7 linked regions of the Callithrix jacchus genome follow. The protein of the gene in region 2 interacts with the protein of the main gene of each other region in a pairwise test. Links are inferred from orthologs where the notes say so. Each region holds a gene or a part of one and is shown on either strand. Other genes may lie near its edges. The genes, in order: BAHD1, DVL3, WT1, SYT6, KLHL12, SNX22 and TNFAIP8L1.

Region 1 (3,500 bases), on a different chromosome or scaffold from region 2:
GGAAGACTCATGCCAGGTCAAACTCTAGGCAGGGGCCAATCTGGGGCCTACAGTCCTGCTAAAAGCAGCTGCGCCTTGGGTCCCCAACCAGAGGGAGAGGTACCTGACTCTGGGTTCTCCCAGAGGGCAGAGATCTTGGCCACATAAGGCGTGGAGGTCTTTCGTGGGCCTGACTTGAGGAGGACAGTGTCCCGGACTCGGATTGTCTCCCCGTGCCGCTCTACCGCCTGGTAGCTCTTTCGGATGGCTGGTTCCGGCTCATCCTAGGCAACAAACCAATGACACACAGAGGCTTGAGGGCCACACTCAGAGTAAGGATAGAGGGAGGGAATGACCTACTCTCTACGATTTCCTCAAGGTAGTCATACCACTAAGCAGGTTTGGATGGGGCTGGGGAAATCTCATGGTTGGAGAAAGGATGGGAAATGGGAACAGCATTGGCAGGGGTGGTGGAGTGGCCTGAAGCTTCTGGGACTGAGCTCTGACCACCATACCCCTTGACAGCTGACTCTCACTCCAAGCCCCTCAATGCTGGATAAGTGCTCATGCTTCCTAATGGAACAATCTCGGTCTGAACCCTTAAATCACTGTTAGAAGGGGCACAGTCTTAGACAAATTATTTAATCCACTGCTAAGCCTCAGCTTCCGCATCTGTAAAATGGGGATAATTACAAGAACATGGAATATATACCACATAGAGTAGTGGTGGAGCATAGAGGGAATAATACAAAGTGCTTAGCTCAGTTCTGGCATCTAAGAAGTACTCAATAAATTTTATCTATTTGTTTGTTGATTTATTTATTTATTTTTAGAGACAGGGTCTCGCTCTGTCACCCAGGCTGGAATGCAGTGGTACAATCATAGTTCACTGCAGCCTCAACCTCCTAGACTAAAGCAATTCTCCTGCCTCAGCCTCTCAAGTAATTGGGACTACAGAGGCATGACATCATGCCTGGCTAATTTAAAAAAATATTCTGTAGAGACAGGATCTTGCTATGTAGCCCAGGTTGGTCTTGAACTCCTGAGCTCAAACAATTCTCCAGCCTCAGCCTCCGAAAGCTCTGGGATTACAGGCATGAGCCACCTTGCCCAGCCTCAATAAATTTTAGTTGACATTCTTTTTATTTTTAATTAATTACTTTTAAAAGCCAGGGTCACTCTGTCACTCAGGCTGGAGGACAGTGGTACAGTCAGCTCACTACAGCCTTAAACTCCGGGACCTTAGCAATCCTCCTACCTCAGCCTCCCGAGGAGCTGAGACTACTGGTGCACAACATACCTGGCTAATGTTTTTACTTTGAAGAGATGAAGCCTATATATTGCCCTGGCTGATCTTGAACTCCTGGCCTTCTGTGATCTTACTACCTCCGCCACCCAAAGTGCTGGGATTACAGATGTGAGCCACTGCATTTGGCCTCTTTTCATCATCCCAGATGTCCTCTGTATCACTGATTTTCTCTGCCCGTTCCAACTTCTCCATATGGACTTACCCAGAAAAGTTCTCCATTGAAAGTCCTCCATTTTACAACTCAGGCTGTAAGGGACAGAGTGAGCAGGGAGGAGAAAGACACTCAGGAAGACACAGAGATGGCAGCCACCAGCTATGACTATGTGTCTCCTGACCTCTGTGGGGTGTCCGGTACAGGATTGGTAGGGGGCTGGGGAAGCAGGCAGGGTGGGCCAGCATGAGTGGTTCCTGGGGTACCAGTAAACTAGAGTCCCTTGTCACCTCTCAGAGTAGCTAGAACCAGGTGCTCTTAGCACCTACCTCACGGCAGGTTTTGTGTTTCCCACTGCCTCCTTCCCTCTCATCATCAGCTAAAAGTTGGCACTCACCAAGACATACACAGCCTTCTCACAGGCAGCCCCGACAGGTACCCAGCCATTAGTGCGGCGGCGACGGCGGCGGCGAGGGCGTGGGCGCTGGACACGTGGCTGCTTGGGGTGGCTGGGCCTGCGGGCAGCCTTGCTCCTTGCAGTGTGCCTGCAGCCAGAGCCCGTGCGCAGACCTGACTTAGAACCGCTGGGAGGTTTGGCGCTCTGAGGGCACGCACGGGCTACTGTCTGAGGCTCCGAGGTGGGTGTCTGAAGATGGGGGACGGGCTCTGCTGCAGGTGGCACACTGGGTACAGGGCATCCCAGGAGGGGGTGGGCGGGTGAGGCTGGGTGGCCAGCTTCCGGGAGAGGAAATTCCAGCTGGCCCAGGGATCTGCAGCCTTCTAGGAAAGGGAGAGAGTGGGTCAGGACAGGACAAGCAGTGACCCTCATCACCCATCTAATTGCAGAGGCTGTTCCTGTCTTAATTCTAAGTGTGCAACCAAAGGCCACCGAGATGGCCAATGTGATCAGAAGCCTTTATGGTGGATTGTCAGAGTGACTCTCTAAGGGGACGGGGGCATTTCCTGATCTTGGAGATTGGCATCTCCTCTTTTAGTCTGAAAGAGGTGGTGGGAACATCCTTTTTAACTCCAATGTTAACTTTTTTTGTTTTGAGACGGAGTCTTGCTCTACTGCCCAGGCTGAAGTGCAGTGGCATGTTCTTAGCTCACTGCTACCTCTGCCTCCTGGATACAAGTGTTTCTCCTGCCTCAGCCTCCTGAGTAGCTGGAAGTACAGGCACCCGCCACCACGTCCAGCTATTTTTTTTTGTATTTTTAGTAGAGATAGGGTTTCACCATGTTAGACAGGCTGGTCTCAACCTGCTGAGCTCAGGCAATGTGCCCGCCTCGGCCCCTCAAAGTGCTAGGTTTACAGGCAGGAGCCACTGTGCCTGGCCCTGATAATATTAACTTTATAAGCCTTTCATAATGCTTGGGAATAGGGGCTCTGGAACCAGACAGCCTGGGTCCTGACACTTACTAGCCATATGACCTCAGGCAAGTCACTTTGCCCCTCAAAGCAATATAAACAGTAGTTATGAATATCACACATATTTGTTAACTTGCTATTTTCTTATGAACACATTAACTAATTTCATCCTTACAAAAACCCTGTGAGGTAGGTATTATTACCCCCATTTTATAGTTAAGAAAACTGAGACAGAGAGCAGTTACTGACTTGTCCCATAGTCACATGGCTAGGAAAGTGGGGGAGAACATTTCACTCCAGGCAGTCCTGCCCTGGGGTCTGCGCTCAATTACATGCCAAGGAACATCCCATATGTAAAGCACTCAGAACGGTGCCTGGTATATGGTGTTCACTGGTGTCCTTATTATTAGAGAAAGGGGTAAGGGTCTAGACTTGGGGAATGGCACACAAAAAAGAAGGAAAACCCCAAGCAGCAGCCTGTTCTGATGTCCTAAGAGCTTTAACTCAAGCCACAACCTGAAATAACTAGTCTGGCCAGGGCCAACTGGTCTATAAAGTTGTTTTATAGACCCCTACAGAAAGGATGTCGGGGGAGGGATATCTCTGGAAGGTACAACCCTCACCTCCCCAGCAGCAGGGCAGACCTGCTGGCCGGCATGGCTCTGGTTACCTCATTTCCACCCAGGAGGCTG
Region 2 (4,066 bases):
CAGGCGTGAACCACTGAGCCCAGCCTCCACTTCATTTTTAGCACTGTTTTCAACCCTGCTAAAATGGTCCAACTCTGATATTTTGGTTCAAGTACCACTGACGTTTGCAAGATGGCTTCAGGTGGCACATAAATTAACATTGCTTAGTTCAATCATTAAATATTTACGTTAAACGTATTTTAGAAAGAAATATAAATAGAAAATCAGACCTATGGTTTCACATTATTGCTTGGTTTAAGCTAAGAAAAAGAATGAGTGGGCCGGGTGTGGTGGCTTGCACCTGTAATCCCATCACTTTGGGAGGCTGAAGCAGACAGATCACGAGGTCAAGAGATCAAGACCATCCTGGTCAACATGGTAAAACCCCGTCTCTACTAAAAATATAAAAATCAGCTAGGCATGGTGGCACGTGCCTGTAGTCCCAGCTACAGGAGAGGGAGGCTGAGGCAGGAGAATCATTTGAACCCGGGAGGCGGAGCTAATTTTTTATTTTTAGTAGAGATGGAGTGCATGCCCACTGCACTCCAGCCTGGGCAACAAGAATGAAACTCCGTCTCAAAAAAAAAAAAGATTAAGAATGAGTGGACTGACACTGGATTTAAAGAAAAATATTAACAGTGACTGGTGTAATGAGGGCCCTCTTATAACTACAGTTTGGCCTGCCTCAATAGCAGCCTTGGGAGAGTGACAGCAGCCCAGAGTTGTCCAGGCTTAGGAGGCAGGGGCCAGGCCTGGTGGATCTAGAGATAAGTGGAGGTTGGAGAGACAGCCTATCCTAGCCCTGCAAGGCATCTGGATCTGGGATGGCCCCAGGGCACTGGACTCTGGCTGATCTTCCCCCATTCCTTACGTGGAGGCTGTAGCTTGATCCCTTCTAACTCTATTCTCTTGCCAGGCCAAGGCACCCACCCCCTCACCCAGACCCCTTCTGGATCCATCCCTCCTCAGAATCTTCCAATCAGAGGTACCTGTCTCTGGGCTGAAGGCAGACAATCGTCACCACAGCAGGAGCACCCCACCCCAGGGCAGGAACAACAACAGAAACCAGAATAGTTAGAATCTGCATAGCACTGCCCACTGTACAAAGGACTCTCACACACAGGATTTCAGGGGCTCATCCAATCCTGAGTTGCCGAGCAGAAGGTGACAGCAACACACGACAGGCATTAGACAGAAGATGCTTGCTTCCCAGGGCTAGGTGGGTCAGGGGCTTGGGAGAGAAGCCAGACCGATGAACACTGGGGAGAAGAATGTCTCCTCTTGGCTGTGGGGCCTCAGCTCCAAAGAGCAGTCCAGGCCGCAGGCGAGGGCTGAAAAGGCAGCCTTCAGGCCTGGTGGGGCCTTCCCCAACGACTCCAGGCCCAGCGCCCAGCTAGTGAGGCGGCAGGCTAGTGTGGGCGCCTTCCCCTCCTCCAGTCTCCTGGGAGTTGGGGGGTTCGAGGGGATCTGGCTGGCCCCCCCTGCTCCAGGCCAGCTGCTTCAGAACCTTCCGGCTCCAACATTCCATCCCCTCTTAAAGGGGAAGTGACTGCCTCCCAACTCTGCCTGTCCAGATCTCTGCAGCTGGGTGGAAGGGAAGACCCCACCAGGGAGGGGAAGATGGAGAACACCAAGAAACTCTTCCTGGCCCTCCCATCCAGGCCCCAGGCCCTTCCCAACGTCTCCCCCTTGGCCACCATCTGGAGGAAAAAGGCCAGAATTGGAGGAAAATCAGCACCTGGGTCAGTGAGGACCAGTCCTCAGGGGTCAGGCGCTCTGTTCCAGTGACAACACCCCCAGCAGCCCACAAGGGAGAGGAGAGGCAGTTAAGATAAACATGAGATCTGCAGACCCTGCTCCCGGCCGGCGCCCGAGCACCCCCGTCACCCCTCCCCCAGCTCAGAGTCCCAGCAGAGCACTCAGCTGCAGCATACTCCAAATATGGCTGGGAGCTGCGCTGCTGAAAAGACGAAGGGGCGAAGAACCAGGGCCACGCAACCCCAGTCTGCGGAAAAGGTGGCGCCGGCCCCTCGGCAGGAGGAGGACAGAGACTCGGGCTCCGGAACCAGGTGGAGGGGGGGGTGTGTCTGTCGCTGGGAGCCACTGGTCCCTGAGGAGGTGAGGGGACCGCACGGCAGGAACTCTGATTGCTCTCGGGGAGCTGGACGTCCCCTTCAACCAGGGAGGCCCAGGTCCCCGCTTCAGGGATGAATGGCAGTCCCTAGAGCGGCTGGAACCCACGGGGCCCCAATGGGCCGAGTCGCCCCTGAAGTCAGAGCGGGGCTAGGAGCGGGTGAGCGAGGGAAGTCGAGAAGGGTTGCGTCGTCCCTGGGGAGCCGCCTCTGGCTCCCGGGGGCGGGCAGGGGCCATTCTCACCCGAAATCGTCGTCCATAGACTTGAAGAAGAACTTATAGCTGGGTCGCTGCAGAACGCCCTTAAAGTCCGCCAAGGTGACGCGCTCGGCGGGCAGGGGCAGCTTCACGAGGTACGGCGTCTCCTGCCCGTCCAAGTGGTAGATGATCTTGGTCTCGCCCATGGCTCCGGCCTCGGGCCCGGAGGCCCGCGCGCGGCCTTGCTCAGGCGGCCGGGCAGAGCCCACACGGCGGCGGCGGCGGCGGCGCGCGGCGCGGCCCGGCGGTTCAACCCAGCTCGGCGGCGGCCCGCGGCGCCAGCTCCCTTGTTCTCCGGCCGCTCCCGGGTCCCAGCGCCGCCCGCCGCCGCCGCGGCCGCCGCTTCCGCTCCCCACTCTCCCGGCTGGGCTGGAGGCCGCTACTCTTCCGGTGGCCGCGGCCCTCCCGGCCCTGGGCTGCGTCCCGGCCCGCTCCCCTCCCCCGGCCCGGCGCGGCCTCGCCCCGCCCCGGCGCGCCCCGCCCTCGGCCGCCGCACGGAGGCGCCGGCCTCGCCGGCCTCGATGGACTTCCACCCGGCTCCGCTGATGTCCCGCCCCCTGGCCGGGCCGCCCCGCTCCGGTCCCGGGTCCTTAGAGACTGAACGGGAGATTCACCGGGAGGGCGGCGTTCCCGGAACCGCGAAGTCCTGACTCTGGACCTGATTGGGATGGGTTGTTCCTCTGCGGTCCGAGAGGAGTGGAATGCAGGGATTGCTTTGGTCCCCAGAAATGGTCTACGGAAAGAGGGTGGCTCTGACTCTGGATCCCTGGAGGAGAGTGACGGCAACATGGCCCTTCAGGGTTTCTTGAGAAGCACAACTGCTGTCACGTTGTCTACGAAACTGATCTCCTCAAGGGCAGGACAGCATCCAGTTCGATTCCTCCCTATAGCCTTAGCGTCCAGTTGCAAGGCAGTGGTTCAATAAATTATTAAATGAAGAATAAGTTAATGCATGCACCCCGGACAGTAAGTCACCAACCCGAACTAGGTATAGCCTGTTCCTCTCAGACCTCCTTTTAATTCATTTACTAAACACCGAGGGCCTACTATGTGTAAGGCATACTGCGTGAGATATAGCGGTAGCAAGACAGACATGGCTGCTCTCAGGACCTTCCTTCTGCTGGAGGGAAGCGCATAGGCTTGTAAATAGCTTCAGAGTGGCAACTGCTATGAAGAAGGTAAAACAGAGTGCTGTGATGGGATCAGGGGAAGTCGGGCACAGTGGCTCATGCCTGTAATTCCAGCACTATGGGAGGCTGAGGCAGGTGGATCACCTGAGGTCAGGAGTTTGAGACCAGCCTGGCCAACATGGTGAAACCCCGTCTCTATTAAAAATACAAAAATTAGGCCAGGTGCGGTGGCTCACGCTTGTAATCCCAGCACGTTGGGAGGCCGAGGCAGGCGGATCACAAGGTCAGGAGTTCAAGACCAGCCTGACTAACATGGTGAAATCTTCTCTCTGCTGAAAATGCAAAAATTAGCCAGGCATGGTGGCGTGCACCTGTAATCCCATCTACTTAGGAGGCTGAGGCAGGAGAACTGCTTGAACCTTGGAGGTGGAGGTTGCAGTGAGCCGAGATTGTGCCACCACACTCCACCCTGGGCAACAGAGCAAGAAAAAAAGAAAGAAAAATTAGCTGAGTGTGGTGGTGGGGGCCTGTAATCCCAGCTACTCAGGAGGCTGGGCAGGAGAACT
Region 3 (3,500 bases), on a different chromosome or scaffold from region 2:
TGCCTCCTAGCCTCAAGCAATCCACCCACCTCAGCCTTCCATGTAGCTGGGATTACAGGCATGTGCCACCACATCTGGCTAATTTTTTTTTTTTTTTTTTTTGTAGAGATGGGATTTCACCACATTGCCCAGCCTGGACTCAAACTCCTGAGCTCAAGTGATCCGCCCACCTCAGCCTCCCAGAGTGCTGGGATTACAGGCGTGAGCCACCATGACCAGCCAAAAAAATACATTTTTAGGCCGGGTGTGGTGGCTCACACCTATAATCCCAGGTGTGGGAGGCAGAGGCAGGCAGATCACCTGAGGTCAAGTGCTAGAGACCAGCCTGGCCAACATGATGAAAACCTGTCTATATCAAAAATACAAAAATTAGCCAGGCATGGTGGCAAGTGCCTGTAATCCCAGCTACGCAGGAGGATAAGGCAGGAGAATCACTTGAACCCAGGAGGCAGAGATTCCAGGGAGCCGAGATTGCACCACTGCACTCCAGCCTGGGTGACAGAGTGGGACTCGGTCTCAAAAAAAAAAAAGAAAAAGAAAAATACATTTTTATTTCAGAAATCCTTTCCAAATGTAAGTAACAGACCAATGAAAACTTTTCTCATTTTTTTTTCTTATGCAGGACTGAACAGAGGAAACTGTTGACACGTTGTGCTTCATCCTTACAATATAGCTTCTGCCTCCTCAGCAAGTGACTAAGAGCACGTGTCAAAAGACCTTAAAAAGTATCGAAATTATCTCAACTATGGAAAGATCCAGCTGCAAATACATGCCAAAATTCCTTATCTGTGATTTTTGTAACTGAACAAACGAACCCCTGTATTACAGCATGAAGATGTTTTTAAAACTGAAACGTACTGCTCACTTCACAATCATGTTCTGTCTATCCTTGCCATTTAACTTGGGGAACGTTATCAAGTTCTGAGCAGAGGAGAAAGGAGAAAAGGAAGGGAGCCAGGAAGAAAGAGTGGGACCAAAAAGCCCTGAGCTTAAGACAAGTTAAGAACAGGTAGAAAGAAGCGAAAACTGTCAGCAGTCCCCTGGATGAAAGACAGGAGAGATATAACTTAAAATAACAGAAGTCTTCTTCTTTGATTTCCAGAGAGGAAGAGAAGATCTGGGTAAAATTGCTGAAAAATACTGGGGTGGAGTGAAGTGAAGACTCCAACAGTAAGTCTTGGAAGATGAAATACAACTCTGTTGATTACTTAAGGATGAACCAAATAGCAGGACTGGGCCAACACAAGGAAGAAGAAATGGGGGTGGCTGATTGCCGAGTTTAAGCAGAGAAAAGAAAAAGAAACAGCTACAGAAATGCCCCAGGGTGCAGGGTATAGGGCTGGGAAAGGTGTGAATGTTTGGGAATTTTAAAAAACTTTGAAAAACAACCAAAAAAAAATCTTCGCAAAGCCTGGCCTCTGACTTAGGGTAAGTTCTCCCTGAGACACTTAAACGTAAATAAAGAAAAAGCAAGTAAGTTAAGACTGAAAGACTTGACTGATCTAACGAGAACATATGTAATGCTACAAATTTAGTATTTTGTGAAATATTCACAAAGAAATGAGCAGGATTCCTACTGCATCATCTTTAAATTGTTTTCCAGGAGCACACTGAAGAGAAATGCCACTCCCTCCATTTCATCCCCAGCAGTGTAGAGGAACAAGAAGAGGTGGGGCCGGAGGAGAGAGACTCTTCCCATCCACCAAATGCTACCCTGATTACCCACATCAGTCCTAACTCCTGCATTGCCCCAGGTGCCAGTCAATAAGGCCTACGCCATTTGCTTGGCCATCTCCGCATTGTCCACTCACTTGCTCTGCCCTTCTGTCCATTTCACTGAGCTGGAGCTCCCAGCAGCAACTCTAGAAGAGAAGAAGAGGTGGGGAGTGGGGAATGGAGCATGCATGGCTCTGGTAATCCCCCCAGATCCCAGAATCCAATGAAAAGCCCCTCAATATACAGAGACATCAAGCTAGGTGTCAAGAGTGCTGAACTGAGTCCCCAGTCCCACTGGGGCCAATGGTGGGGTGGAAAGAACCACCTGGAGGCTGCAAAGAGCTTGGACTTTGGAATCAGATGTGGACTTGGAATGCCAGCTCCAGCACTTAGTAGGATGTGAACTTGGGAAGTAAGTTAACACTCTGAGCTTGGTTTACTCATCTGTAAACCATGCAGTACTTAGCCCTCATGAAGGTGTTGGGAAGATAAGATGAGGCAACCTGGAAGAGCACCTGACATGCTGCAGGCACTTCATGAGTGTTCTATGCTATTGCCCATCTCTTCATATTTATTAGAAAATGAAAAGAGTTCTTTCACTGATGAAAGCAAGTCCCACCTTCTTTTTTTTTTTCACTTTTAGGTGCAAAGAGTAGCCCCTTCCTATGTTTCCTGGCTGTATTCTCCCTATTATGGTTGTATGGTCAAGTATGGAAAGAAAAACTCTGTTGGTGCAATCAGGTATGGGCATATCGGACTGTGGATTGCCCAGATCAGCATCACACAAATATGAATTTGGATCCTGGACTTTGTACACCCAAAGCACCTCTTGATAAGATAGCAGAATGGTTAACAACTGTGACATCATAGTAAAACCCAATTATTAAATGAGGTTGAATGGCTTTGTCCCCAATATTCCTTGTTTCAGATAGAGACACCACCTATTTATGTTTTTGAAAATTTAATACTGAACAGAACTTATCAACTAGGGGAAGGAGGAAAGCATTCTAATGCCACAGAGAGCTCTGCCCATTCTTCTAAAACTGTACTCTCTTCATAAATTCTAAGCACCTTTAAAATGGTTCAAACAGGTGTGAGTTACTGTGGAAAGGCAATGGAATAGAGAAGACCTTACCCCTTTAAGGTGGCTCCTAAGTTCATCTGATTCCAGGTCATGCATTCAAGCTGGGAGGTCATCTGGTATAAATTGTCACTGTTAAAAAAACATCCAGAGTTAGAAACACATAAGCACAAAATAATACGCTATTGTTTCTTCAAAAGCAACGGAGTTTTAACTTTTCTTGAGAGTGGAAGCCTCCACATTTTCCAGAATGACAGAATATCCAAGTCTGAAATTATGTTCATTTCATCCCACTGATCTCTGCGCAGTTATACACTTCATACACAGCAGAAAAGATGGGAGAGTAACTCGGAAGCATTTTTTAAAACCTTAGTATGGCAACCATCGAAGTTACTAAAGAAGTATGAAACCTTTGAGGGGAAAAGGCTAAGGGGAGTGAAACTTTGAAAGGCAACGCAGGCTGGATAACTCAACATTAAAGTTAAAAGCCTGGAGCTGAAAGTAAAGACAGCAGATTAATTATTCGTGAAAAGGCCATTAAGTTGTTTTAATCAAAAGGATAAGTATCATGTGGATTATGAGGGTCTGAAAAGTCAAAGAGTGATGGGTGATAAATGGTCTAGAAAGCAAAAATGTGACAAGCAGAAGAAAGATGATGATAAACTCGATGCACAGCTGAAGGAATCATTTTCTATATGTTTTA
Region 4 (4,256 bases), on a different chromosome or scaffold from region 2:
GAGAATCTGGACCCAGGTAGTGGCTCTGGGATGCAGAGAGCAGGCTGGGAGGAAGAACAGCTGGGGCCTGGTCCTGGACTCCACAGAATCTCCCCAGACCCTGTGGTCACCTAAATTCTCAGGATCCTAAGACCACTCTCAACCACTTTCTTTCTCTTGCTATGATCAAAGGGTCTGCCCCTGCCTCCGCCCTCCATATCCCTTTCAGCCTCCCAGCTTGCCCCCTGGGCTTCTTGGACTTGTGACTCAGCAGCCAAAGTTAAAGTTTTCCTGAGCTGACAACTCAAACTCATGTCCTGAGGCAGCCTGCAGGGAAGGCATAGTCATCATCTGGGTCTGCTGACTCTTACCCCTCAGGCTTTTCTCACCCACAACCTGGCCATGCAGGCACCTGTCATTCCAGATTATGGGCATCCCTCTGGAATCAGAACACCAGTGCCTCCCCCTACCAAGATGTGCTGTGCACAGATAGCCCTACCCCACCTCCAGCATCTCCCCCCCTCCCCCGCCCAGCATTTCTGCCCTAGAGAGACAGGAGGGGCAGCTTCCTTTCAAGGTGGAACTAGACAGGTATGTTCTCACCCTCTAGGCTCTGAGGGTCAAACATTAAGGCGGCGCTGGAGATGGACCAATGGTGGAAAAGATGGAAGGGGGCTGGGGAGTAGGGAGAGGCAGGAAGAGACTCCCTAATAGGGAAAATTCTGTGTCTGGTGGGTATGGGGAAATGGGTGGTGTAGGAGGGGATGGCACTGGAGAACCAGAGACCTGTAATAACTTGCCAGGCCTAATCTGTTCTGAGAATCTCCGAGGTGAGGAATCAACTTCCCCAATCTCCATCTCTGAACCACCCTCTAAAAGTTCTTCATGTCTAACCTCAGTCTCTTCTGCTGCAGTGATCAAACCATTGACTAAACATTGCCACAACTAGGGAGAGCAGCGACTCCTTCGACTTTCAGTGCTCAGGTGGGCTCCACTCACCCCAAGGCTGGATACAGCCCCCTCACACACACAAGCCTCCCCTTGGGCCACTGCCCCTCGCCTGAAGTGTTCCTCATCGGAATCTACCTCCGTATATGACCTTTAACCTCAAGTGAAAGAAAACAGGACCCTGGGAACCTGCAGCCGCTGGGGAGTTTACCCCACCTGTACCTGCTCCCGGAACCGCCGCTACGGTCCCAGGCTTCTTGTCCCCGAAGCAACGCTTGGGGACCAAATTCCTGCCTCTGGCAGCCCCTTCCCTCCCCTTCCCGCGCCTGCGGTGCGGAGCCACGGGGCAACTCCCGAGTACTTGCAGGCCCAGCACTACTGGGGTCGGGGTCGGGGGACAAGGAGGGATGGAGCCTGCAGAGCCTCCTGGACCCCCGGTGCCCTGGTCCCTGCAGGATCTCCCCACCCCCATTCCGCATTCTCTCCAGGCCTCTCACTCCCCCAGCCCCTCCCCCACGGAGGGGACGCGACCCCGCACTCCCTCCGGCCCCGGACCCTCAAGACGTCGGGACAAAGAAGCCTCGCGACGGCCGGCGACTGTGGCCGCAGGGCACTGGTGCAGCAGGTAAATACCCGGGGCCGGCCGCCACGTCGCCGACCCTCCCGCGTCTCCCGCCGCCAGGGCGCGACACGCCATTCCCGCTGTCGCGACTCCCGGGAGACGCCGTAGCTGCGCGCCGGGGTCCAGCCCGGCGGGGATCGGGCTCGGGACTCACCCGCTCCAGCGAGCTCGACTCGGCTCGGGCTCCCGCCTCGGCTCGGCAGCCGCCTGGGGTTGCGTCCGACGCAGGGTCCGCGCGGCTCGGGCAGGAGGCGCCCTCTTGGCAAAGTCGGCGAGAGGCGCCGGCTCAGTCGCGCACCCGCCCCGAGTCCGAGTCCGAGAGGGACCGAGGGAGCGAGTTATAGGGGCGAGGGGGGTGGGGGAAGGACGACGCGACACCCTCATACCCTCCCCCACCCCGCCCCCTGTCCCCCGCCCCCCAGCGGAGACGCGGAAAACCACTCGCAGCCGGAGAGACACCCGGACACAAAGACCTCGTGCCAGCCGCAGACCCAAGTTTCTCCCAGAGAGACCGGGGGTCCTCCGTGTTCACCACGAGAACACACAAACGGACGGACAGACCGATGCACGAACCCCGGGACCTCGACACTCGCTAGGAGACAAGCTTTCTTCCTCAGCTAGGCGCCCCTCGTCTCCCGCTCTCTCCACGGACCCCTCTTCTGGCAGGTCGCCTGCAGAGCGAGCCTGGAGATGCGAGGGAAACTGAAGCCCCGAGGGTGCCCCATCCTGGGAGCCTGGCTGTCTGTGGGGTCCCCCGCAGTAGTAACACCGGAGGACCGGGGGAGTTATACCCCCACCCCCGGTCCCTTTCTGGTGTCTCCTGGCTGTGGAAGCGATGGGCCAGGGGACTGGCCCGAGGCTGGCTTCCAATCCAGAATACCGAGCTGGAGAGTTCTCTCTAGGTTTTGGGGCTCCTGGGACCGGTGCTCTGGGGAGGGGAGTCCGCAGGACGGGAATCGAAGAAGGGAGAGGGCTCTGGGTCTCCCGTTACCTGCGCCTGCCGCGCTGGGACTCCGCTCTGGGGGTTGCAGCTCGAAGCTCCGACAAGTCTCCACGTCCAGCCCAAGAGGGGGCGGCCGGGCCCGGCACAACGAGGCGAGAACCGCGAGCGCCTCCTGGCACCGAGGCCCGCCGGCCCCCCACACCCCGCTCATGCCCCAGACACCCAGGCCTGCCGAGCAGCAGCTCGAACCCGCGCAGCGGCCGCACTGGGGCGGGGCACTACGGCCCCTAGAAGACCCTCCCTGCAGCGGCCCCCTGCGGCTCCGCTCCGCTTTTAATCACTTCCCCGCAGGGTCCCCGCCCCTCACGTGGCATCCCGCGGCAGCTGGCAAGTCTGGCGCCTCGCAGCCGCCCCCTCTACACTCAGGGACTGGCCTGAGTCAGGGGAGGGGGGTTCGAGGCAGGGAGTCGGGCTGTCCCGAATCTCAGAGGGTGCAAGGCTGATAAAGAGCCCGGGTTCCCGCTCTGCATTCACTGCTTGGTGTGACCTTGGGCGTCTCTGCGCCTCAATTTCCCTCTCCGTAAAGGAGGTGTAATGATTTTAAGTGCTTCACTGGCTGCCTGGGAATAGAAAGATCGTGTTTGTGAAAACATTGGGTAAACGGCCACATGCCACACAAATGGCAGCGAAATAGATAACCCTGAAACAGAAAGAGCGACGGTCAGGCTGGGGCTGGAAGGGCCTTGGCCGCGGTTCCTGACCGGAGAAGTTATACTGGCCCCAAGTCCCAGCTTCGGAGGTAGAAGACCTCAAGACAGGCGGGCGATGCGAACTGCAAGACTTTCAGAGCTCCGCAATCCTGCGGTCCGCGGTACCCGCGTGTTGCTATGGCGACTGGTGCCAGCGGCCGTCTCTCTCCATGGCAACGGGAGGGGAAAGTTTCTGGCGAATAGGAATGGGGGGTCATTTCAAGAGGGCGCGGGGCGCTGAGTTCCGCCGACCCACCTCTCCACTTCAGTGCAACAACTCCAGAGATCATGTATCTTTCTACTAAGCATAACAAGAAAGCTAAACGCAAGGACTGAGGCTAAAGTAGAGATTCCCCCAGAAACTGTGGAGTGAGGCCCAGGAGCAGACTAGCTGTGGGGCCTCAAGGCTCCTCACTTAGCGCTGGAAGTCTGTGCGCCATGGTCAGGGAGGCCGCGGAACCAGCTCCCTGAAGGGGCCTATCACGGGAGTCTCTTGATCTCCACCTGTCGGCGTTTGGCCCCTTCTGTGTGGGGCTCGCCTGAAGCCCCAGACTCCAGTCCATTTGCTCTCCCGGAGCTGGGAAGGAGACTTTAGCTGCAGCCCTGGAAACCGCTGGGTTGGTGTATGCCCGAATGGCTGGTGAGGGAGGAGGGTCTCGCCCCTTAATTAACACGCTTATTGGAAGTGACTCGGGCAGTGACTCAGGTTCCGGAGGGAGGAGATTCGGAACCCCAGCTCCTGGCAGTCTCCACTGTGAGCCATCTGTGCCAGCAGGCCCTTGGACTTGCGATTCCCTAGCAGCTAGTGCCCTGGGCACCAAGGGCCAAGACGTGGCCTGTGAGGACCCTGGGTCAGGCAGGCGGCTTTTCCACCGTGAGTCGTTCCCTGGCTCTGTCCACGGTGCTGAACCCAGTTGGTGCTACCATCACGTGAGCACTGGGTTAGAGGATGGGGGAGAGGCAATTGTGGAAGGCTCGCATCTTCCACCCTAACCCCTGTGCCTGTGATAGGAGG
Region 5 (3,500 bases), on a different chromosome or scaffold from region 2:
GCTGAGGCAGGAGAAGAGCTTGAACCCAGGAGGTGAAGGTTACAGTGAGCTGAGATCATGCCACTGCACTCCAGCCTGGAAGAGGTATACTTAAGATCTGTTATTCTATTACACAAATATCCTAGTTTTAACAAAATAAATTAGGAGGGAGTAATCATTTCATTTATGGAAGTATATTTTAGGCTTTCTTTAAATGGTATTGCCTGAGGCTAGTACTGCTTGAGCCCAGGAGTTTGAGACCAGCCTGGGAAATATAGTGAGACCCCCATCTCAACAACAAATGTTAAAAATTAGTGGTGGTGTGCAATTCCAGCTACATAGGAGGATGAAGTGGGAGAGTTGGTTGATCTCAGACATACAGGCTACAGTGAGCCATAATTGCACCACTGCACTCCAGCCTGGGTGACAGAGTGAGACCATCGCAAAAACAAAAATTAAAGAATTGGGCCACTGGAGATCAACACTACAGGCTTCAAAGACATCTAATAACTATATTGGACTTCTCACTCCAATTTTTAGCCTAACTATAGACCTGTATGCAATAAAACTCTGCTACTGGTATCTGATTTAGAATTGACTTAAGATTCTTCTGTATAGGTTAAGTCACTGAATGCCTGCCTGGTACAGGTAGTATCCCACTGGTAGGTGAAACATTATTCCTTTTTCTTCCCCCACAAGAGACAGGCTCTTGCTCTGCTGACCAGGCTAGAGTGCAGTGATGTGATCATGGCTCACTGCAGCCTCAAACTCCTGGGCTCAAGAGATCCTCCCACCTCAGCCTTCCAAGTAGCTGGGACCACAGGTGCTCACCACCATGCCAGGCTAATTTTATTTTTTTGTAAAGACGGGGTTTTGCCATGTTGCAGGCTGGTCTCAAACTCCTGGGCTCAAGCAGGTCTCCTGCCTCAGCCTCCCAAAGTACTGGGATTACAGGCATAAGCCACTGCACCTGGCCTACTATTCCTTTAAGATCTAGTTCACCTGTCCCTTCCTTCCATCCCCTGCACCCTCAAAAGAAAGTTTTGATTTGTCTCCTGCTTATGAAGATCCTCACTTCCAAACTTTTATCTCTTCATTTTTGATCCACACCTGGGTTTATTCTTCTTTCTTCTATGTAATGTCCTTACTTTGTATAGGCTCATTATTCTCATTATCCTCTCAACCTTTTTTTTTTTTTTTTTTATCTATATCCCTGTCTCTACTAGCATATTGTGAATTTTCTGAAAGCAAGAAACTATATTTACCCACTTGGGGATCTGTAGCACCTGGCATAGTATTGCTGCATAGTAGATATTCTCAATAAATTTTGTGAACTGAGTGAATGCGTAATAAAGACGTGTTCTACAGATACCGACTTTACTTCCAATTTCTGCTTATTCTATACTCTGTTTAATAGTGATTCTTACCGATTGGGATCATACACCTAACTGAAGAAAGTAGCAGACTCCCTCTCCATAAAAATACAAATAAATTTGGTACAGGAGGGATTAATGAAATCTTTGAGCCAATATGGACACTTGAATATGAAGCCCTGGTAAGTAACTGCATCCTACTTTGCCAGTTTTGTAATTGCCCAATCTTGAAGAAACCATAACACAAAGACAAATCTGTACCTGAATTTCATCACACTTGATTAGCTTTTCCACCTCTCCTTGACTCAGAAGAATGAATTCTTCATGCTGTACCACTTCAGGAAAATGCTTCTGGCTAAAAACCTCAGCTGCTTGCATCAGGTCAACACAATTGTGGGTTTCGGCAAAATCCCTAATACCCAGGCAATTAGAAGGGTCCAACTGACTTTCTAAGAACTCACAGCAGGCTTGTTTCACACCTAGGATAGACACAGGCAGCAAACACTTTAGAATAGTCAGACAGGTGTGATCTACTCTATATTCTTATATGTTGACATCTTCTCTACATGTTATCAGATGAACCCTAAGAAACAGATTAGAAATTCTATGCTTAAGGATCTTAAACTCTATTTCTGGCTTACATGCTGTGTCACTTTCAGCAAGACCTTTACACCCGTCTCTGCTTATTCTTTAAAATCAGTATTGCAAGATGAATTGCATCCAGAGACACTAGCACAGTTCAACAAACATGCCTATAAAACTCTTGGGAATCAAACTATAAAACCAATTACTAATTCAGCATAATGTACCTATTTTCTACTCTACACAAAAACCTACTAAATGACTCGAGTGAAAGAAAAGCAGAAGACAGTAATAACAAATCTCATATTTACCTAATTGAAAAGTTCAGAGTATTTAAATTTTACAACTATGCACTAATGCAAAAGCATCACGCTATTTAAATCATGTATTAAAAACTAAAAATGTGTCAATTATGTATATATAAAAACTGAGAATAATGAAAACATAACTGAATGTTAAAAAAGAAAAACCGGGGCCGGGCGCGATGGCTCAAGCCTATAATCCCAGCACTTTGGGAGGCCGAGGCGGGTGGATCACAAGGTCAAGAGATCGAGACCATCCTGGTCAACATGGTGAAACCCCGTCTCTACTAAAAATACAAAAAATTAGCTGGGCATGGTGGCGTGTGCCTGTAATCCCAGCTACTCGGGAGGCTGAGGCAGGAGAATTGCCTGAACCCAGGAGGCGGAGGTTGCAGTGAGCCGAGATTGCACCATTTTGCACTCCAGCCTGGGTAACAAGAGCGAAACTCTGTCTCAAAAAAAAAAAGAAAAGAAAAGAAAAACTGGGGACCAGGAATGGCAGCTCGATCACTTAAGCCCATGAGCTTGAGACCAGCCTGAGCAACACAGAAAGAACTCATCTCCACAACTTTTTTTTTTAATTAGGTGGGTATGGTGGCATGCATCTGTGGTCCCAGCTACTCAGGAGGCTGAGGTGGGAGAATTGCTTGAGCCCAAGAATTCAAGGCTACAGTGAGCTGTGACTGCACCACTGCACTCTAATCTGGGTGACAGAGGGAGACCCTGTGGTAAAAACAAAACAAAAAAACCCAAAAAACCTGGGAATTGTACGGGAAAACAAACCATCTGTAATCCTGTGAAAACTATCATTTTTTTGTGCATGAATTTAAAGTTCATTTAACAGATATTCTACATAGTTCAAATATTTGAAGATACAAAAGGGTTTACCATGAAAAGTCCCCCTAGCCTCATTATCAACCTGGCTACTTAATGGCCAGGTAAATGAAGAGTATCCCTGTAGGCTATGTAAAATATCAGTTTTTTATACTTCTTACAGATGTGTTATATACATGTATGTAAGAAAATACATAATTTCTTCTTACATTTTTTTAAAAAAAAAAAAACATGCAAGTGCTCCTTTCATAGAGCCACATATGCATATCAGAAGTTCCTTTATACTGCTATTGACATCTGATTTTTTACTGCTTAATGAGACAAAAGGGATAGCCAGTAAACGTGAGCATCCAGTTTGTCTCCAAAATGGTCACGATTAAGTTTACACTATTAATTTTCAACCTTTCCAGGGCTATTTTGACATAGCAAG
Region 6 (4,021 bases), on a different chromosome or scaffold from region 2:
CTGGAGCACACCATCCACCACCACGTTGGGCAGCGGCTCTGTGGGATAGAATTAAACAGGTCTGGCCTCAGGCCTGCAGCTCCTTGAGGTCCTGTTCATGGGCTCAGCATCTCCCCCCCCGCCCCCCCGCAACTGCCCTTGGAAGTAGGAGCCCCTGCCAAGGCAGCAGACAGCAGCTGTCCATCCCAAATGAAGCCCTGGCATTCCCAGGTTGCATTCTGTTCACATCAGCTTGGTAAAGAAGGAAATGGAGACCAAGGAAGCCAAACTTGTTTTCCTTGTGTCTGTACAGCTCCAGGGGAAACGGGAGTGGGAGGTGATGCCCCAGAGGAGGGCAGCAGGAAGGACATGCTGTTTGGGGATCCCGGGAGTAGAACAACACCAAGCCCACCTCCTGTAGCCCTGGATCTAGGCAGCTCCTCACCTGGGGAGGGGGTGCACACATAGGGATCCACATGGAACCCCAGGACAGGCCGCTGGTGCTGCTGGGAGCTGGGAGGAAAGAGGGTCATGAACCATCGGTGCGGGAGGCAGGGCAGAATCCCACAGAGGGGTGGAGATGGGGTTGAGATCACCAGGAAAAGGTGAGTGGGAAATGGGCTCAGGAGGCACCAAGGGGAGGGCAGACCACAGGGCCCAGGCCGGACAGGCCCAGGCAGCAGGCCGGCCTCCTAGCATATGGCCACTAGGGGGCGGCAGGGGCCAGGCACTGGTCAGGGCCTTGAATTGCCTGCTGTCACCAGGCAGGACCTCCCCCAGGGTGCTGAACAGAAGAGAAACACTGTAAGCTGCCTGGGGATGCCCGGGGGAACGTGAGGAAGGGGTGGGGACACCAGAGCCCAGAACTGTACCTCCCAGGGGACCACTGCTTCTATTTGTAACAAGCCCAGTTCCGGAGGTGGCTGGGGTAACCAAGGCTGTCCAAAAAAGCTCCTCTACCCAGGTCGAGAAAGCTGGTGAGGGCGGTCATGTCAGGCTGGGGCCTGGCAGGTGTGAGAAGAAAGGGCTGGCCCTCCAACACCTTTCCTTACCTGCTCTCTGCTGACAGCCCCTGGCCCCCACCCCCAGCGCCCCCTTACCCACAGCTGCTAGCCTTCGGGTCTGTGGGGAAGTGCCGAAGTCTCAGGAATTCCAGTAACTCCTTGGGTACCTCCTGGTTTAGATACAGGATGCCCTGGAGAGGACAGAGACCTGCAATCAGACCCAGCTACTAATTTGCATAGCCCAATGTCGCTGAAAATGCAGGACTTTTTGTTCCAAAAAAAGAATTTCAAGACAATGACAGCAGAGCATTAAACCAAGCTCAGGGCCCTTGTGAGTACTGGGCCCTGTGTCCACAGGTTGTACCCAGCGAACTGGCATAGCTTTGCTGTTGGGGGAAGACACTCACAGTACATCCCATCAGGAGGGCAGCACAGGACCTCATCCTGGAGGGGACAGGACCTGCCTTTCATGGAGCTCGGACTACCTGTGTCTGTTACCTCATTCAGTCCTTTCAATACTCCAGAGAGGGATATTTGGACCTATATTACTTTTCAGAAAATGCACGCTTGAGGTGCTGAATAACATCCCCAAGTTGTGGGTTCCCTCCCTGCCATGGCCCCACACCTCTTTGTCTGGGCCACATCCCTGGCACAGCAGGCTGCGGCGACCAATCATGCCCTTGCATACCTGGATGTAGGCCTCCAAGCCCTGCCGGCGCTGTTCCAACCCTCTGGTCCTCCAGTTGGGCAGGCGTTTCGAGGGGAAGTCGGGCACTCTGTACAGCTTCTTGATCTACTGGGGATTTACCGCGTGCGATCACAGCATCCCGACTGAGTCCTCACGCCCTCTTCGCCCAAGCCAGAAGCCCTCCCACGCCCCGTGCCCCCGCCTTCAGGCTCTACTCTGGGACAGACCCTGATGAGTGGTGGACGGACCGATGGCGAGGGAGGCCCCAAACCACCCACAGATGCCCGGGAGGGTGGGCGCTGGGCCTCCCGGGGTGACCGGCCATAAAGGGGCATGGTCGGTGCGAACCAGGATGTGCCCCCCTGCACCCTCCCCTCCTCAGATAAGGGCAGTCATGGGGGTTGCGGAGCCTGGGGCTGGAGCTCGCCCGCCCGCCTCACAGGGCCTGGGCAGGGGCTGGACGGAGGCTGGGCTGGGGTCGGTGGGGGGTCGGCGCCGCCTCACCCGCTTGTGCAGCGCGTGGAACTCGCTGTAGCGCCTCGGCACCGTGTGTCTGCGTCCGCTGCACAACACCTCGACTCGGAACACCTGGCGGCGCGGGCGGGCAGTGGGGGTGCGCGTGAGACCCCGCGGGAGGACGAAGCAGGACCCGCGCCCAGCGACGCGCCCACCCGCCCCGCGCTCAAAGGCACAAAGCGGCCTTGCGGCGCCGCGGCTCCCCGGGACGCTCCGCTCCTGCACACCTGGGAGAACCGGCTGGCGGACCCACCCCTCGGCGCCCTGTGGTCTCTCAAGAGCCCGAACCACAGTCTGCGAGGGTGGCAAATCCAAGCGACCCCCAAACCCTCGACAAGGTGTCCCCCGACGGTCCGGCCCGCAGCGCCCGTTCACCCCGGCCCGGGCTCCGGGTGCCCACTGAGCGCAGCGCGGGGAAACTCAGCAGGTCCCAGCGTCCCTCCCCATCCAGGGGCCGCGCTCACCATGTGGCCTTTCTCCGGGCTCTGCCTGGGCCCCTCGGCCTCGGGCCCCACCGACGGGATGTGAACTTCCAGCATCCGCGCCCCGGCCCCGGCCGCTGCGTGCGCTCGGATCCGAGCCCTAACTCTCCCGGAGCAGACAGACGACCCCTGCGCGGCCGGCCCCGCCCCGCCCCCTAAGCCCGCAGGCCCCACCCAGGCCCCGCCTCCAGGCGACGCCGCCCCGGGCGTTCCCTCACGCGGCGGGTCCTGGGCCCAGAAGATTAGGCGGGACCAGGACGCAGCGCGGGGCAGTGGAGTCACCCATTTGTCAAACATTTACTGAGCGCTCACTGATGCCAGGAACCGGTGAGCGAAAATGTCACCCATCTTAAGTGTCTACTAAGGACTAAGAACGGCCTGTGGCTCCAGGCGTAGACGGAGGCCGGGCTCGGGCCTCAGTGCGGCTCCTCGGGCCAACCAGGGACCTACCTGCCTTGCGTTCCTCAGTCCCTTCCCCAGCCTTTCCCTCCTTTCAGCCTAGTCCCTGGGATTGTCGACCTGGAGTCCCCGGCTGAGGCCACACCTGAGCAGGGCGTGGACCCAATCCAGGTATGATGTCCCCTTCCCCAGCATCCACAGGCCCCTCCGTTCAGTCATTGTTTTCATCCATCCATCCACTTCTATCTTCTAAACCTAAGCGGCTCCAGGCTGTTTGTGGGGAAGACGCAGTTTAGGGACTTAGGCTCTGATTTGGGGATCAGACAGCCTGGATTTCAGGAACCCTGTAGACCTTTGCTCATCTGCAAAATAGGCATAATGTGGCTCCTTGACGAGAGTGTATACAGTTAGACGATTTGGCCAGGAGCAGTGGCTCACACCTGTAATTGCAGCACTTTGGGAGGCTGAGGCGGGTGGATCACCTGAGGCCAGGGGTTCAAGACTAGCCTGGCTAACATAGTGAAACCCCGTCTCTACTAAAAATCAGCCGGGTATGGTGGCACGTGCCTGTAATCCCAGCTACTCTGGAGGCTGAGGCAGGAGAATGGCTTGAACCCGGGAGGCAGAGGTTGTAATGAGCCAAGATCGTGCCATTGCACTCCAGACTGGGCAACAGAGCAAGACTCTGTCTCAAAAAAAAAAAAAAAAAGTGAGACATGTTAGGTCCTTAGCAAAAGCATTGAGTAGCAGCTTGACTGTGGGCTTGTCCTGGATGACTAGGACAAGTTGGCACAGGGCAGCGGATGGGAAGAGGGACTTTAGGGGGTGGCACAAGTTGCCCTTGTCCACCCCTCTGGGCAGCTGCTTCCTAGATATGTGGCAGAATTTTAATCCAGAATTCTCTCAGGCCATGTGCTGGAAAGGGCCTCTGCTCCCACCTCTCAGCCCTACAC
Region 7 (2,850 bases), on a different chromosome or scaffold from region 2:
GCATGCCACCCTGACCAGCCATAATTTTTTATTTTTAAATTTTATTTCTGAGTTGCCCAGGCTGGAGTGTAGTGGCACAATCTTGGCTCACTGCAACCTCCACCTTCCAGGTTCAGGTGATTCTCCTGCCTCAGCCTCCCAAGTAGCTGGGATTACAGGTGCCCACCACTATGCCTGGCTAATCTGTGTACTTTTTAGTAGAGATGGGGTTTTACCATATTGACCAGGCTGGTCTGGAACTCCTGACCTTTAGTGATCCGCCCACCTCAGCTTCCCAAAGTGCTGGGATTATAGGTGTGAGCCACCACTCCCAGCCCTGTGTATATATATATAATTCTTTTTTTTTAGAGGTAGGGTCTCGCTATGTTGCCCAGGCTGATCTTGAACTCCTTGGCTCAAGTGATGCCCCTGCCTCAGCCTCCCAAAGCACTAGGTTCACTGGAGTGAACCGCCGTGCCCAGCTTGGTGAATGCTTTTATTTAAATTGTTCCATAGCTCTGTTTGCTTTGTTTCCTTTAATTAAATCTCAAATTTACAAGAGTCCAGACAGGCTGGCCAGCCCAACAGGGGCCCAGACAGTCACGCACGCACATTGATGTCTCAGCGGCCCAGGATTCCATCGGGGGCTCCATGAGAAAACCGGAATGCGCAAACGCCCTCGAAGAACTATCTCGGTCTGAGATAAGCTGAGAAGGTTGCCTTGGAAGCGTAGGTAGAGGTAGGAACAGCTGGCTCTCTGGCCAAAGCCTTTGGCCTTTTTGCAGAAGCAAGAAACCAAACCACAGGAAGGCTGCTCCAAGTGTGGGCTCAGAATTTCCTCTCGGTGAGTGCAGCAGGCCAGGGAGAGGCGAAAGGGAGTGGAGAGGACTGTGGCAAAAGGGAGACGGGTGGCCCCACACAGCTTCACCAGGGGTCAGCGCAGACTCAGGCGGCTCGACGGGCAGGTTTGCAAGAGAATCTCCAAATCCAGACGGGTGTGTGCGATCTCCTCGTTTTAAAAACTGGCAAATTCCAAATTTCTCAAATACTGGATGGAGCCAGCTACACCTACCTTCTCACCGAGTAAGGTCCATGGGCCCCTTCACAACCTGTACCTTCCACAGACAGGTTCTGCCCAACAGTCATGGGACCTCGTTTCCCGCCCCAACAGGCACCCAAAATAACCTTCCCGACCTGGGGCAGCATTTTGCAATCTTCGAGAACCCGTGCCCCCTTCTGACAAACAAAAATGGGAAATAGACTCCCCACACGCCGCCTCCATGTCCCCAGCTGAAATCACATCTTGTGGGAGGTGCCAGAAGCCAAGATGGGCCGAGGTTTGCTTCCTTGGGTCTGGCTTATAAAAGCAACATGGCTGGCTGGTTAGTTGCTGATTCTCCAGACATGAAATCACGATTTTACAATGTGCACACTTGGGGAGGCCGAGGTAGGTAGATCGCTTGAGCCCAGGAGTTTGAGACCACACCGGGCAACACAGTGAGACCTTGTCTCTACAACTATTAGAAAAATGAGCCGGGTGTGGTGGTGCACACCTGTGGTCCCAGCTACTTGGGACAGAGGTGGAAGGATCACTTGAGCTCAGGAGTTCTAGGCTACAGCGAGCCAAGATCGCACCCCTGCACTCCAGCCTGGGCGAGACAGCGAGACTGTGTCTCAAACAATAAATAGAATGTGCACACATCTTAGGTGGGTTCCTCCTCACCCCTGGGGTAGGGGGCAGTCCCTGGATTGGAGCAGTTTCCCCTCCCCACCCAGGGCAGAGGTCTCTGGCCTCATCAAGGCATCCTTGATGCCAGCAATGCCAGCATTTGCTAGCGCTTTTTGAGATGGAGTTTTGCTCGTCTCCCAGGCTGGACTGCAATGGCGTGATCTCGGCTCACTGCAACCTCCGCCTCCTGGGTTCAAGCGATGCTCCTGCCTCAGCCTCCCGAGTAGCTGGGACTACAGGTGTGCGTCACCACACCTGGCTGTTTGTATTTTTAGTAGAGACAAGTTTTCTCCATGTTGGTCAGCCTGGTCTCGAACTGCCAACCTCAGGTGATCTACCTGCCTCGGCCTCCCAAAGTGCTGGGATTATAGGCGTGACCCACCGTACGTGGCCCAATTACCCCCCCTTTTTTTGTGTGCTGGGACTCAGATCCAACCCCCCTTTTTTAAGGACACGTCAGTGAATTGGGGTGGGTCTACTCCAAGATGGCGTCATCTGAACTCATTCCAGCCGTAGTGACCCTCTTTCCAAATCAGACCATCTTCTGAGGTCCCGGGGTTAGGACGGGAGTTTATGGATTCTGGGGGGCTATGGCTTGCCCCCTAACACGCCTTCCCCCAGTTCGCTGTGTGAACTCCCAGTCCCTGGGCGAAAGGAGGAAAACCCCAGGCAGCGTCATCAAGTGCGAAGCAGCAGCTTTTGGCTTACATCAGGCAACCCAGGGGTCGGCCTGGCCCAGAAAATACAACAGAAGTGGAAGGTGGGCCCTGGCGAGGCAGTGGTCCGCAGAGTAGGGCCTCGAATCCCTCCCCCATTGGGCGGGGGCCGGGAGGAGAGGCGACATCGGCGTTTGAAACTGCTGCTACATACAGATGGCTCCGCGTCCTCTCAAAGGGGACAGGTCACCCACCTGTCTAGGGGGGTCTGGCCGGAGTCCGACTGGGAGAAAAGAAGTGGGGAAAAAAACCCCACACCCAGCAGAGGAGCCCCATCAGGCGCGAGGGGCGCGGTCGGGCGGCCCCTGGGGGGCTCAGAGGCTGCCGTCGTCCAGCATCCGGCCCAGGCCCTCGCAGATCCTGTGCAGGTGGGAGCGGTAGGGCTCCGTGGGTCCGTAGAGCGCGGCCAGGAAGTCGCAGTCGGCC

The links.
Region 1: the proteins of DVL3 (region 2) and BAHD1 interact in binary tests that used the Homo sapiens proteins (3 or more experiments, as listed by UniProt). The two-hybrid records come from large-scale screens. The link is inferred for Callithrix jacchus from reciprocal best matches to the Homo sapiens genes DVL3 and BAHD1.
Region 3: the proteins of DVL3 (region 2) and WT1 interact in binary tests that used the Homo sapiens proteins (3 or more experiments, as listed by UniProt). The link is inferred for Callithrix jacchus from reciprocal best matches to the Homo sapiens genes DVL3 and WT1.
Region 4: the proteins of DVL3 (region 2) and SYT6 interact in binary tests that used the Homo sapiens proteins (3 or more experiments, as listed by UniProt). The two-hybrid records come from large-scale screens. The link is inferred for Callithrix jacchus from reciprocal best matches to the Homo sapiens genes DVL3 and SYT6.
Region 5: the proteins of DVL3 (region 2) and KLHL12 interact in binary tests that used the Homo sapiens proteins (3 or more experiments, as listed by UniProt). The two-hybrid records come from large-scale screens. The link is inferred for Callithrix jacchus from reciprocal best matches to the Homo sapiens genes DVL3 and KLHL12.
Region 6: the proteins of DVL3 (region 2) and SNX22 interact in binary tests that used the Homo sapiens proteins (3 or more experiments, as listed by UniProt). The two-hybrid records come from large-scale screens. The link is inferred for Callithrix jacchus from reciprocal best matches to the Homo sapiens genes DVL3 and SNX22.
Region 7: the proteins of DVL3 (region 2) and TNFAIP8L1 interact in binary tests that used the Homo sapiens proteins (3 or more experiments, as listed by UniProt). The two-hybrid records come from large-scale screens. The link is inferred for Callithrix jacchus from reciprocal best matches to the Homo sapiens genes DVL3 and TNFAIP8L1.

Annotation. Positions count from the first base shown.
Region 1 is NC_133509.1:46,140,418-46,143,917, forward strand, and holds part of BAHD1 (bromo adjacent homology domain-containing 1 protein), read right to left. Parts: intron 2,220-3,500; coding exon 1,837-2,219; intron 264-1,836; coding exon 104-263; intron 1-103.
Region 2 is NC_133516.1:13,139,265-13,143,330, reverse strand, and holds the start of DVL3 (segment polarity protein dishevelled homolog DVL-3), read right to left. Parts: upstream 2,801-4,066; 5' UTR 2,517-2,800; coding exon 2,356-2,516; intron 1,473-2,355; exon of another isoform or gene 1,168-1,472; coding exon of another isoform or gene 1,097-1,167; exon of another isoform or gene 1,067-1,096; coding exon of another isoform or gene 969-1,066; intron 1-968. UniProt on the Homo sapiens protein: Involved in the signal transduction pathway mediated by multiple Wnt genes.
Region 3 is NC_133511.1:97,782,733-97,786,232, forward strand, and holds part of WT1 (Wilms tumor protein), read right to left. Parts: intron 2,930-3,500; coding exon 2,852-2,929; intron 1,863-2,851; coding exon 1,812-1,862; intron 1-1,811. UniProt on the Homo sapiens protein: Transcription factor that plays an important role in cellular development and cell survival. Recognizes and binds to the DNA sequence 5'-GCG(T/G)GGGCG-3'. Regulates the expression of numerous target genes, including EPO.
Region 4 is NC_133508.1:152,140,292-152,144,547, forward strand, and holds the start of SYT6 (synaptotagmin-6), read right to left. Parts: upstream 2,801-4,256; 5' UTR 2,704-2,800; coding exon 2,541-2,703; intron 2,294-2,540; exon of another isoform or gene 2,123-2,293; intron 1,861-2,122; exon of another isoform or gene 1,704-1,860; intron 1-1,703.
Region 5 is NC_133520.1:29,958,063-29,961,562, forward strand, and holds part of KLHL12 (kelch-like protein 12), read right to left. Parts: intron 1,832-3,500; coding exon 1,614-1,831; intron 1-1,613. UniProt on the Homo sapiens protein: Substrate-specific adapter of a BCR (BTB-CUL3-RBX1) E3 ubiquitin ligase complex that acts as a negative regulator of Wnt signaling pathway and ER-Golgi transport.
Region 6 is NC_133509.1:10,955,376-10,959,396, reverse strand, and holds SNX22 (sorting nexin-22), read right to left. Parts: upstream 2,801-4,021; 5' UTR 2,727-2,800; coding exon 2,652-2,726; intron 2,260-2,651; coding exon 2,176-2,259; intron 1,777-2,175; coding exon 1,672-1,776; intron 1,175-1,671; coding exon 1,080-1,174; intron 984-1,079; exon of another isoform or gene 852-983; intron 493-851; coding exon 228-492; 3' UTR 127-227; downstream 1-126. UniProt on the Homo sapiens protein: May be involved in several stages of intracellular trafficking. Interacts with membranes containing phosphatidylinositol 3-phosphate (PtdIns(3P)).
Region 7 is NC_133523.1:4,392,656-4,395,505, reverse strand, and holds the end of TNFAIP8L1 (tumor necrosis factor alpha-induced protein 8-like protein 1), read right to left. Parts: coding exon 2,739-2,850; 3' UTR 501-2,738; downstream 1-500. UniProt on the Homo sapiens protein: Acts as a negative regulator of mTOR activity.